Sus scrofa: one gene and its partners. The protein of the gene in region 2 interacts with the protein of the main gene of each other region in a pairwise test. Links are inferred from orthologs where the notes say so. Each region holds a gene or a part of one and is shown on either strand. Other genes may lie near its edges. The genes, in order: CAGE1, MPPED2 and RXRG.

Region 1 (3,650 bases), on a different chromosome or scaffold from region 2:
ATCAGTGCAACCAGAGCAAGCGGTCATGGGAACCTCTGATCTACAGCTGGTGTGTTCAACGCTGGCGACAACCCGGACTCGCCACTGGCAAGGGAACGGGGCTGAGCGCGTCCTGTGGGATCTGAGGCTCCCTCCAGGTAGATAGTGTCCAAACGGTGTTAAGCTGGGGACACTCGGCGGAGGGTGCAGAGAACAGCCTGTGGGGAGACCTGGCACACGTCTGTGTCAGAGGCGGTGTGATTGTGAAGGGAACACACGGGCGGGAAAAGGGGGGGGGTCTTCCTACGCGGTGTTCTGCCGGCGCCAGCGGGCTTCAATGAGGGCTGTTCCAACCCTCTGGTCCAGACTGAAGTGGAACGTGTCTGTGGCCAGTTGTGCTATGAAACCCTGAAAATTCTTTTTTCTTCTTCCTTTTTTTTTAGGGCCACACCCACCGCATATGGAGGTTCCCAGGCTAGGGGATGAATCGGAGCTGTAGCCGCCGGCCTACGCCACAACCACAGCAACGCTGGATCCTTAACCCACCAAGCGAAGCCAGGGATCGAACCTGCACCCTCATGGTTCCTAGTCGGATTCGTTTCTGCTGCGCCACGAGGGGAACTCCAAAATTCTCTTTTTGTAACAACTTCTTTGACTTTGGCCCCCCTAAGAATCTCCAACTGTGCCCCAAATTGTTGAATTTTCACCACATAGTGTTCACTAGAATTTCTTAAGACGGTATTCTACTTGTTCTTTTGTAAGCTTGGGCTTACGAAATACGGGAAGAGCCTTATCCGGTTTCACAATGAGTTTTTCACGTACTTGTCCTGAGGGTTATGTTCATATTGGCAAATGTTACAATCTTTTGATGGCAGACATAATGTTAAAAAAATTATGTTTGACAGGGATATTAGCACAGGTCTATAATCTTCTTCAAATGCTGGGACAGTGAACTGAGGTCTCACAACAGCTGGTAAGGAGTCGTCGTGAACCTAAATCTTATGATCCCATGTCGAGTGCTCTTTGTACTGTGCTTGCTGTCTCCCACGAGCTGTAGTTCAGGGAAGACTGGGCTAAGAACCCTGAGAAAGTCGTAGATAAAGCGGAGGAGACAGGTACGACCCTCTGAGAAGGAGGAGGGGGACATTTCCATTAGGCCTTGAAAAATGCACGTTTTAAATACAAGGAACTGGTGGTGGAAGCGGAGGAGAGATTTTCGTTTGTTAGGGCAGGAAAAGGCATCTGAGGACAAGAAAACAGTCTGGGCAAAGGCACACACATGAAATTTGGGGCCAGAGCACATAAGGCAGTGATTTCTGGACTACAATGTAAGAAACGGAGGCGTTCCCCAGTGGCCTGGCAGTTGAAGGATCCGGCGTGGTCACTGCTGTGGAACAGGTTTGATCTCTGGGCCAGGGATTCCTGCATGCTGCGGACACAGCCAAAAACAGAACAAAACAAGAAAGTAAGAACTGGAACTCTTGTCCCTAAACCATGATTCATTAAGTTATTTCATTATATAATATCACACAGCCTTTGAAAATGAGAGTGCCACGTTGAGATCAGCAGTACGGAAACATTTTTATCAGAAAACCTGCGAGTCGAAACGGCCTATGTGACTAAGACAGGATGTGGAAGAGGGTTTAGAAGAGGGTTGCAGGAGGATTTTGAAAGGGGAGGGTAAGAGTGCAATGCCAAGTTGTCAATTAAACGTGTGAGAGTGAAAATGACGGAGCAGGTCCTCAAGAGGACGCGATGGGTCAGAATCAAGGAAGCAAGGGACGAAGGGGCAGCGAAGAAAGTGGGTACACACAGAAACGGTGGGGTGCAGCAGACACCGCGCCTCCTGGTGATGCCCGCGGTGAGGGCCCACGCCTTGCTCCGGGAGGGCAGGGCTGCGGCCGTTTCAAACCCTCGCCTCTCTGCCAGCCTCCTTCTGCCAGAGCCAAGCCTTCCGCCACGAGTTCCTTACCGCGCACAGCTGCCTGGGACCTGCCTGCGCTGCCCTCTGCCAGGCTCAGAAGGAGGGGTGACCAGCCTGTGCTGCGCTGGGGCACCCAGGCCCTCGCTCCGCCTCTGAGACCTGGGTTCATCAATGACCTCTGACCCCTGGATCCTTCTCAGCATCTAGTTAATTGCTTTCTAAACAGACCCCCAGGTGTTTCACAGCAGCCTTGCCCCCATCCTCCCCTTCCCCCAAACCAGCTGTCCCTCCTGAGGTCCCCCCCTCCGCGAAGGCGACCGCCCCCCCCCAGACCCCGGCAGCCCCCGGCTGCTCCGCTTCACTCCCGTCGCTGACAAGCACCAGATCCTTTTCACTTTGTCTTTGACGTCACTTTGCATCCTCACCTCCTCTCTACCTCTTCCGTCACTATTTTAGCTTCTGGCCTTGGTTTTCTCGCGTGGAGCACTGTCTCAGTATCTTGCCTGGGTACCTTTGATTCTACCATCACGCAGCGTCAGCCTACCCTTTATGTCACCAGTAGGCGACCCTTAAAAGGGATAACTGCGGAGTTCCTGTCGTGGCTCCAGGAACGAACCTGACTAGGATTCATGAGGATGTCTGTTCCATCCCTGGCCTCGCTCAGTGGGTTAAGGATCCGGCGTTGCCATGAGCTGTGGGGTAGGTCACAGACGTGGCTTGGACGTGGTGTTGCTGTGGCTGTGGTGTAGGCTGGCAGCTGTAGCTCCGATTGGACCCCTAGCCTGGGAACCTCCATGTGCCGTGGGTGTGGCCCTAAAAAAAAAAAAGACAAAAAAATAAAGGCATAACTGAGCACATCACTCCTCTTTCAGAGCTTCTCATTGGGATACACTTCACATTTCTCAGCGTGGTGCATGATGCTATTTTTTTTTTTTTCTTTTTCTCTTTCCCCTTCCCACAGCATACGGAAGTTCCAGACCGGGGACTGATGTGAGCCAGAGCAGGAGCAATGCCGGATCCTTAACCCACTGCCCCCATCAGGAATCGAACTGGCCCGGCCACAGAGACAAGCCAGATCCTCAAGCCACCGCGTCACAGCGGGGACGCCACATCGCGCCGTTCTCCGTCATCTCCCTCTCCCGCCACCTGAGGAACGCAGGCGTGAGGTTCTACCTGTGCTTCAGAGAGCGTCATGGCCCCTGAGGCCTTGGTGCCCTGAGAAGAGCCTCCCTCCTCTACCCACCTGGGGAACATGGAGTCAGCGTTAAAGATCTGGTTCCGGTGTCCTCACTCCTGCGAAACCCGCCCTGAGGTTGCTCACGCAGTCCGGGGCGGCTGCGTCTGTGCTCCCAGGGCTCCTGGACACTGAGACCCATGCACCCTCCTAGAAGAGAGTCAAGTACCACCGCCCCGTCAGTTACATGGTCCTGCGCCTTCTCTGCCTCACTTCTCATTGTATTCTCGGCATTTAACACAGAGACTGTCACATGGTTTACTGAAAGTCACTAAATGTTTATCGAAAGGAGCACTGGCTTAGATGCTGCATCTGTGAGCCACGCGCCAAAGGAGGTACACGCACTGTGAGAGGGCCTGCAGGTGCAAGATGACAAAGTCTAACCACACACCCCGCACAGCAGCACTCAGGCACCCAGCCCTGCCCGCACACAACCTGTGTTAACTCTTCCACCCCCACAGGTTCTCCTTGTTCGCGGGCAGATTCCAGATGCTGCAAAGTCATCTTTAACCT
Region 2 (3,650 bases):
TAAAATTTCTCCAAGCAAGCCTGTGGAGAGCTTAATGAGGGTCAATGGAAAAATCTCTTAAGAAAAGAAAGGAGGCATTTCAAACGTGCACTGTTTAGTTCTGGGGTCATAAAGTCTTGTTATCTCTCTCCATCAAGAGGCTGGTATTTGCCCTCTCTCTGCCCTCTTCAGCTGTCCTAAGCGAATAAAAGCGAGACAAGTTTATTTGAATATGATCTCTTCCTTTTTAAGCAAGTTTATTATTTTGGGACTTTAGTGGAATTCCCCAATTGTCTGGCTAGTTTAAAGCTAATTAATGATTGAAAAAAAAAAAAAGCAAACTCATAGGCACGAGGCAGGAATTCAAACCCGATAACTGGTCCCCAGAAATGCTGTTGGGACATGATCTCCCATCCTCCCCCACCCGCAGCCTGTACCATGCCTTAGACAAGTGCCCACCTTTTCAGGATGATATCCGCTCTCTGGGAGCTGCCCGCCTAGCTTTCCATCCACTCAGCTCGTGCCTGCACTTGGAGTAAGCTGAATTTTCTCTGGTCTCAATAGGATGATTTTCAATATGCTGTTTATTGCTTGCCTAACCAGGAAGCCACTGGACTGTGGGCTTTGAAAAGCAAAATCTGGCGCCTGCCCACATACACACACCCACTGCACACAAACATTTCTAACCATGAGAGACTGGTATGGCCAGAAGACATAAGGCCTGCTGAAAGAAGGCCTGGCTTAAAAAAGTCAGGACAGACAAAACCTAGACTCCTGAAGCTTCCCATGAGGTTTTCTGGTTCTGTGAACTTGACTCAGCTTACCTAGAAAGGCAGAAAATGGCAACTGGACCAGTTCCCAAGTAGGGGAGATTTAATTAGGCTGTTTAACCTCAGCCCGGGTTAATAGCGCTGATTTCTGAGAAGTCTGAAATGGTTTTCTGAGATTAGCAATGTCTACCTGCAAAGCGTAGCTTCCGTCACTTCCGTTTTTTGTCTTTTTCCTTGCACATCCAAAGTTATTTTTTGGAGAAAGTCTTGTCTTCCTGGGTCTTTGCACACATGCCGTAGGAAACTCAGTATTTATAGGGAGGACGAGGCCATGGATGATATTTAGTCTAAAATCCATTTCTTCTAACACTCTCAAGGAGAAAATCTGACCTTTTTTTCCCCCCAGGGGTGCTTTCGAGCAGTGGTTATCAAACATTCTTCATGTTTCTATGAAGATTCCAGAATCTGTCCAGGGTTAGCGCTGTGTTTGCCAAAAGGTGGGCCAGACCTGGTTTCCTAACTCTCCATGCTGCTTAAAAGAGAGCAGCTCCACACAAAATATTTATCAGCAGCTTTATAAGTGGGTGTTTCTCCTAATGCTTGACCTTAGGAAAGGGTTGCACTGGTAAAAAGAGTTTGGGAACCACTGCTAGTACTCCCATGTAGCTAAAGTCTCTACTGCGGAATGCATCACGGACAATGACACAGCATGCTGTGAAGCCTTTCTCTCAGCCTTACCTTCATGGATTCCACCAAACACATGGAGTTTGGGCCGGACTCGCCGCTGGACTGTGTTTAAAAGCTCCACGCAGCCCACTCTCTGAAGTTCCTTTGGAACCCAGTCTCGAAAACCTAAGGGCAAAATGTAATCAATACTCTTAATTTTCTGCCTTCAGGTAAGGTTTCATTTAGACTTTCAGGAAGCTATAACTCACAGAAGGTTTATTACATTATCTGTAATCCTACCCTCTCCATTAAAGCTCACAATGGCTTTTAAGGAATTTTCACTTTGTCTTCTTTAAGTTCTTGAATTTTTTTTTTTTGTTTCCATCTTTTTTCTTCCTGTTAATTAACTTTTTTTTTTTTTTCCTGTAAGGTATTTGATTTATTCTGCCAAGGGCTTCAAATCTTCTTCATTGGCCCAATGACATTTATTCCCGGCAGTCCCATACTCTCTCTTTTTCTCTTAATTCAGTTATTTTCTCTCTTAAAAAAACCTGTATCTCTTATAGCAGTCTACTTCCAAGATGGCTCAAAGAAGAAGGGCTAGGAGGGGCTGCCTATAAACTGGCCACATGATACCCTGCTCTCTATAGACACATCAACTCTTAACCCTTGGTGGTTCCTGATGACCAAAGCTTAGGAATACCAAGTTCCTCCTTGAGTGCCCTCTCTGGCAATAGGGCAACCATGGTGACCTGGCAGTGGCATGCAGCAAACTGGGGCTAATTGACTACCTTTACATAAAAGCCACTTAGTTCTATGCTTGATGCGGAAAAATCCATAAAAACGGACATCAATTATAGCAGAAGTCAGCCATCTGAGTGATTATGGCCCGGAATGGAATCCAATCACCTCAGCAGGATAGGGTATAAAGAAGGCAGGTTGGACAAAAGGCTAAATCATCATCAGTGGGGATCCATTCCACAGCTCCATTAGGTGATTTCTACTATTCAGAAATGGTCAGGCAGAAAAGGAACAGGCTAGCTTATTCCACTTTGGCGGAACTGTAGAAACGAAGATGCAGCATCTCTGTAAAGACATGCTGGCTGGGGTGTGGGGAATGGACAGAGAGTTTGGGAAAAACATTGGATAAAAGTAGGGGCCCTATAAAAATCCAACCAGGGCTTTCGGGAGTTCCCTGATGGCTAGGTGGGTTAAGAATCTGGCCTTGTCACTGCTTTGGCTCAGGTTCAGTCTCTGGCCTGGGATCTTTCACATACCACAGGCGCAGTCAAAAAAAAAAAAAAAAAAAAAAAAATCCAACCAGGGGTTTCAAAACTTTGTTAATTAGAGGAAAAAAATTTGTAACCCACAGTGATTGTCTTAGTCCCTCATGGATATGTTTCTCATGAAGAGGGAAAATATCTCATTTCATATGCAATCACCTGAGAAAATGTCTTATTTGTACCGTAATAGTTAACATCCCATGTGCCAGGGCTCCCTTGCCAGCAGGAGAGGATTTGAGGGCAATTCTTACACCCAGCCAGCCCCCACCTCCTAGTCCAGAATGTCCACAAGATTCCCTGTTGGTTAAGGTTCAATGTTACCTTATGAAAACGTTGCCTGACCTTTCATTTTGGAACTTCTCGCTATGGATCTCTCTTTGCTATACGCACAGTCCCTCTGTGGATTGATTACTCCACCTTTACTTCAAAGAGAGGGAAGGCAACCTCCCTATTAAGTTTCTGGGATGTCTGAATTCTCTGGACGCTAGAAGTCAGACTTACTGTTACTGCCACTCACTTTCTGTACCAAAATTAATGGCCTGATGGCATCTATGAATCAACTAATCGTTCTGTTTAAAATTATATTCCAAATAATACCTTAAGTCTGTAAACATCTCTATGCTGAGGCTGCCCAAGTCCCTCACGGTAAACAGCCCATGGAGGATCGTGTGCCTGCACCAACAAGGAAGCTCAGGTAAAGAGTCAAGTTGGCCGGGATGAGGTCTCTCTAGGTTCTCTCTGTGTAACTCATGCAGCTCATGCTGATCGGAATAATCAGCCAGCTATTTGATACTTTAGTTAGCCTCTAAGGACTGCGGAATAGGGAAATTAATTCATTTTGACTTTTTTTGTTAGTTGGTTTTGCTTTTTTAGGGCCACACCTGCAGCATATGGAGATTCCCAGGTTAGGGGTTGAATTGGAGCTTCAGCTGCAGGCCTACACCACAGCCAC
Region 3 (3,650 bases), on a different chromosome or scaffold from region 2:
CTGAATGTCCCCTGACGTCTGTAGAAGCAGTAGCTCAAAACGTCTGCCCTTTGGAAGATTTTCCCCAGCAACGACACCTCATTTATGACAATAAGATTTATGGCACAAAAAGAAGAAGTGACTAGCAAAGGATCACTCAATTAATGGCAAAATTGGAATTAGACTCTAATTCCCCAAGGCCAAGGTTATTTTCTTTGAAGCTTGAAGGTGATTTTCCTTGAGTGTTACAAATCTGTAGAAGAAATCAATTGAAGACCACAAAAGGAATTTAACTTAGTTTGCTTTTCCCCATCTCTTCAAATCAAGACAAATAGAAGCCCATTAACCTACCTTTAAAAAAACTAATATGAGAAGCATTCAACTTTAACTGGCAAATTCAACCGATAATAAAAACACATGTGAGAGTTTCTGTATGCTGTCAGTGAATGAAGACTAATGGACTGGACGGAAAGAAAGAATGAGGGAGGATGAGAAATAAGGAGAGCGAGGGAGAGGTCAAAAGAGGGGCTGGAGAGAGGACCAGAGCAGAGAAGAGGAGAAAAAGAGACCAAGGGGAGGGAAAATGCTAACTTTTTTCGAACTTTTAAATAATGACTTATGTAAACTTCACAAACCAATCTCAGTATGATAATCACCACTTTACATACAGGGAAAAAGGCTTCATAGGCTGAGTACTATGTCTGATGCGGGCCCACTTGGAGTAAGTTTTCTTTGACTCCAAGGTACATGTTTGTTCTATTTTCTCCTCTCTGTTCCCTTTCTCTTCTGATTCTTCTTTTTCTTATTCCCCTGCTCTAATCTTTCTCCCCTTTCTTTCTCCACTCCTTCCTTCCTCCCCTCCCTCCCTCCCAACCCCTAAATATCATTCTCATCAGGAGACTTCCTTGACTAGAGGCTGTGGCACGTCAGCCGTGTTTGTGCTGTCAGACCCTTCCCTGACCTACTTTGAGAGATCAATAATATCACTCGCGTGACAAACTAGATGTCCAGCATCCGGTCCCAGTTCATTCTGCAGCCTCTGTGGCTCCTTATGTCCTCAGAGAGTGGGAGGTGCCTGGGAGAGCAGACGATGGGGTGGAAGGGAGAGCAGAGGAGAGGTCAAAGTTGCTGATGGAGTGGCTGTCACTGAGGTCCAGGTTAGCCACCCACTTAGAGTGTAATTTTCTTGCTTCTTGGGATTAGAAAAATGGGTACTTGTATTGCATTCTGCTTCTTGACACTGGGAATAAGAAGATGGAAACTGGAACTTTCAGGAGGATGGAAACTAACCCAAGAGACTGCTCTCCCAGTGGAGAGGACAGAACTGGGGGAATGGGGTCTGCCTGACATCCTAATGCACAGACCCAGAGGGTTCTTTGATGAAAACCCTAAGTTTTGAGAGGCTGAGGTAATTCCAGCCTACACCTTTGCCTGTATACCCTTCCCCACCCCCCAAGTCAGCTGCTGATTCTAAAATGTCATCCAGGTGACATTCCTCCACCCTTCTGCTTACTAAATACCCACACGGCTCCCTGAAGATCTTCCCTGACAAGTCAGATCAGGTGATGTTGTGTTCAGGCCGGTGCACTAGGGGCAGACCTAATGGGACGTGAATGCCAAGCTTGATGCATAGGATCTGACAGAGGGAGTTTTTAGAGTAATGTGCTTGCTGCTTAACTATTGCATGCTCACAGTTGAATAGAGGTAGCAGGTGGAGGAAGGATATGGGAGGAGGTAGTCAGTCGTTCATGAAAAGAAAGGGCAGAATCGGAGGTTATTAAAGCTTAAAATGCACACTTCTTCCAGTGGTCACCATAATGAACCGTGAAGAATATGGATAAAAACCCCATAGTCTGGCGCAGGCATAAGCAAATAGTCTGCTTTCTTGGTTTCATCTGTTACCATTACAACAGTCTGATTCATATATCATGATGATGTCCATTTTACAGATGGGGAAATAGAGGCTGAGGGAGGTAACTAACTTTCTCACTGTGGTCCTGGGCATATGGTAACGTCTGTACCTCCTTGCCCCTGCCAGCTGTGCAAGAAGAAAGGCAGAGAAGCCGGGAGAGGGCTGAGAGTGAGGCCGAATGTGCCAGTAGTGGCCATGAAGATATGCCTGTGGAGAGGATTCTGGAAGCTGAACTTGCTGTTGAACCAAAGACGGAATCCTATGGTGACATGAACATGGAGAATTCGGTACGCATGTGGTCTTAGATCTCCATCTGACTTCCATTTCCTGGATGGGGTTGGAAACGAGGAAGGGGTATGTTTGAATCCCAGAATCTGTCCCTCAGAGTTACTTTGTTCCTTTTTCAGACGAATGACCCTGTCACCAACATATGCCACGCTGCTGATAAGCAGCTCTTTACTCTCGTTGAATGGGCCAAGCGTATTCCCCACTTCTCTGACCTCACCTTGGAGGACCAGGTCATTCTGCTCCGGGCAGGTAAGGAATATCAGGGATCATTTCTTTTTGGGACAAGGGCTTGGGCTGCCACTTTGAACTCACCCCGGGGATCTGAAAACAAGTAACCTAATCGCGCTGTAACACATCCGAGCTGTTTACCTTGTTGAGACAGGAGAACCCTATGCAAGATTGTTCTTTTTTATATTATTCGTAGGCTCTTAAATGTGGATAGCCCTCCCCTAAGCCTTTTGTTCCCCATGAAACCTTGTTTGTTAAATGGAGGAGTAAGACTCTTTTTTCCATGCAGATTTTTCCCAGGCCTTATCATTTGCATTTAATTTTCAAAGATAGCGCAGCCATTTTTATTGAAGACAATTTGAGGCCAAGCCTCATCATTCTTATGAAATCGGAAAATAGTGATATTCCCATTTCACAGGCGAAGTAAGGGAAACCTGGGATTTTTGCTCAGGCTTGTCCTAGACAGGTGCCAGGGTCCCTTCCTATTTTAAGATTCTATGTGCTGTCATCTCTCTTGCCTCCCGTTTCTGGAACACTCTGCAGTTGACATATGCCAAATCTGCTCTTTGTCACTGAGCCAGCAGGGAAATTTCACGAAGATTGGCCGAGCCCCGGGAGCCAGGCCACTCATTTCGCTCCTATTAGATAATGAGCGAGCCCTGAGTGTCGATGGAAAGCTGCATACCGGCCAGGGTGCTACTAGACGATGCCAAAGAAACAAAACTAAGCTGTCAGATCCTGGGGGCAGAGACTGCAGGGTGTACTTGCTTTATCCACCATGACCGCTAACATAGTGACTATTACCTGTCAGGTGTTCAATCCATATTTGCTGACAGGTTGGGGAGAAAAGGAATCCTGTCCTCAAGCTCCCATTCTGGGCTGCGCTGGGGAGAATGGGGATGCATACAGCCACAAGTCGGGGGACCCAGTCTTATCCTCTGTCTCTGCACTAATTAGTGATGTTGTCTGGCGCAATGTCCTTACCTCCCTAGATGGTTTTTCTTTTTTGTTTTTTAGGGCTGAATCCACAGCATATGGAGGTTCCCAGGCTAGGGGTAGAATTGGATCTACAGCTGCTGGCCTACACTACAGCCACGGCAATGCAGGATCCAAGCCACGTCTGCGACCTACACCACCGCTCATGGTAACACCAGATCCTTAAGCCACTGAGGGAGGCCAGGGATTGGAACCCTCATCCTCATCGATGCTAGTCGGGTTCGTTAACCACTGAGCCACAAAGGGA

Evidence for each region.
Region 1: the proteins of MPPED2 (region 2) and CAGE1 interact in binary tests that used the Homo sapiens proteins (3 or more experiments, as listed by UniProt). The two-hybrid records come from large-scale screens. The link is inferred for Sus scrofa from reciprocal best matches to the Homo sapiens genes MPPED2 and CAGE1.
Region 3: the proteins of MPPED2 (region 2) and RXRG interact in binary tests that used the Homo sapiens proteins (3 or more experiments, as listed by UniProt). The two-hybrid records come from large-scale screens. The link is inferred for Sus scrofa from reciprocal best matches to the Homo sapiens genes MPPED2 and RXRG.

Annotation. Positions count from the first base shown.
Region 1 is NC_010449.5:4,691,572-4,695,221, forward strand, and holds the end of CAGE1 (cancer-associated gene 1 protein), read right to left. Parts: intron 3,429-3,650; exon of another isoform or gene 3,288-3,428; coding exon 3,168-3,287; 3' UTR 3,147-3,167; exon of another isoform or gene 2,865-3,146; intron 1,409-2,864; 3' UTR 527-1,408; downstream 1-526.
Region 2 is NC_010444.4:30,214,839-30,218,488, reverse strand, and holds part of MPPED2 (metallophosphoesterase MPPED2), read right to left. Parts: intron 1,602-3,650; coding exon 1,488-1,601; intron 1-1,487. UniProt on the Homo sapiens protein: Displays low metallophosphoesterase activity (in vitro). May play a role in the development of the nervous system.
Region 3 is NC_010446.5:85,343,282-85,346,931, forward strand, and holds part of RXRG (retinoic acid receptor RXR-gamma), read left to right. Parts: intron 1-2,017; coding exon 2,018-2,178; intron 2,179-2,298; coding exon 2,299-2,428; intron 2,429-3,650. UniProt on the Homo sapiens protein: Receptor for retinoic acid. Retinoic acid receptors bind as heterodimers to their target response elements in response to their ligands, all-trans or 9-cis retinoic acid, and regulate gene expression in various biological processes.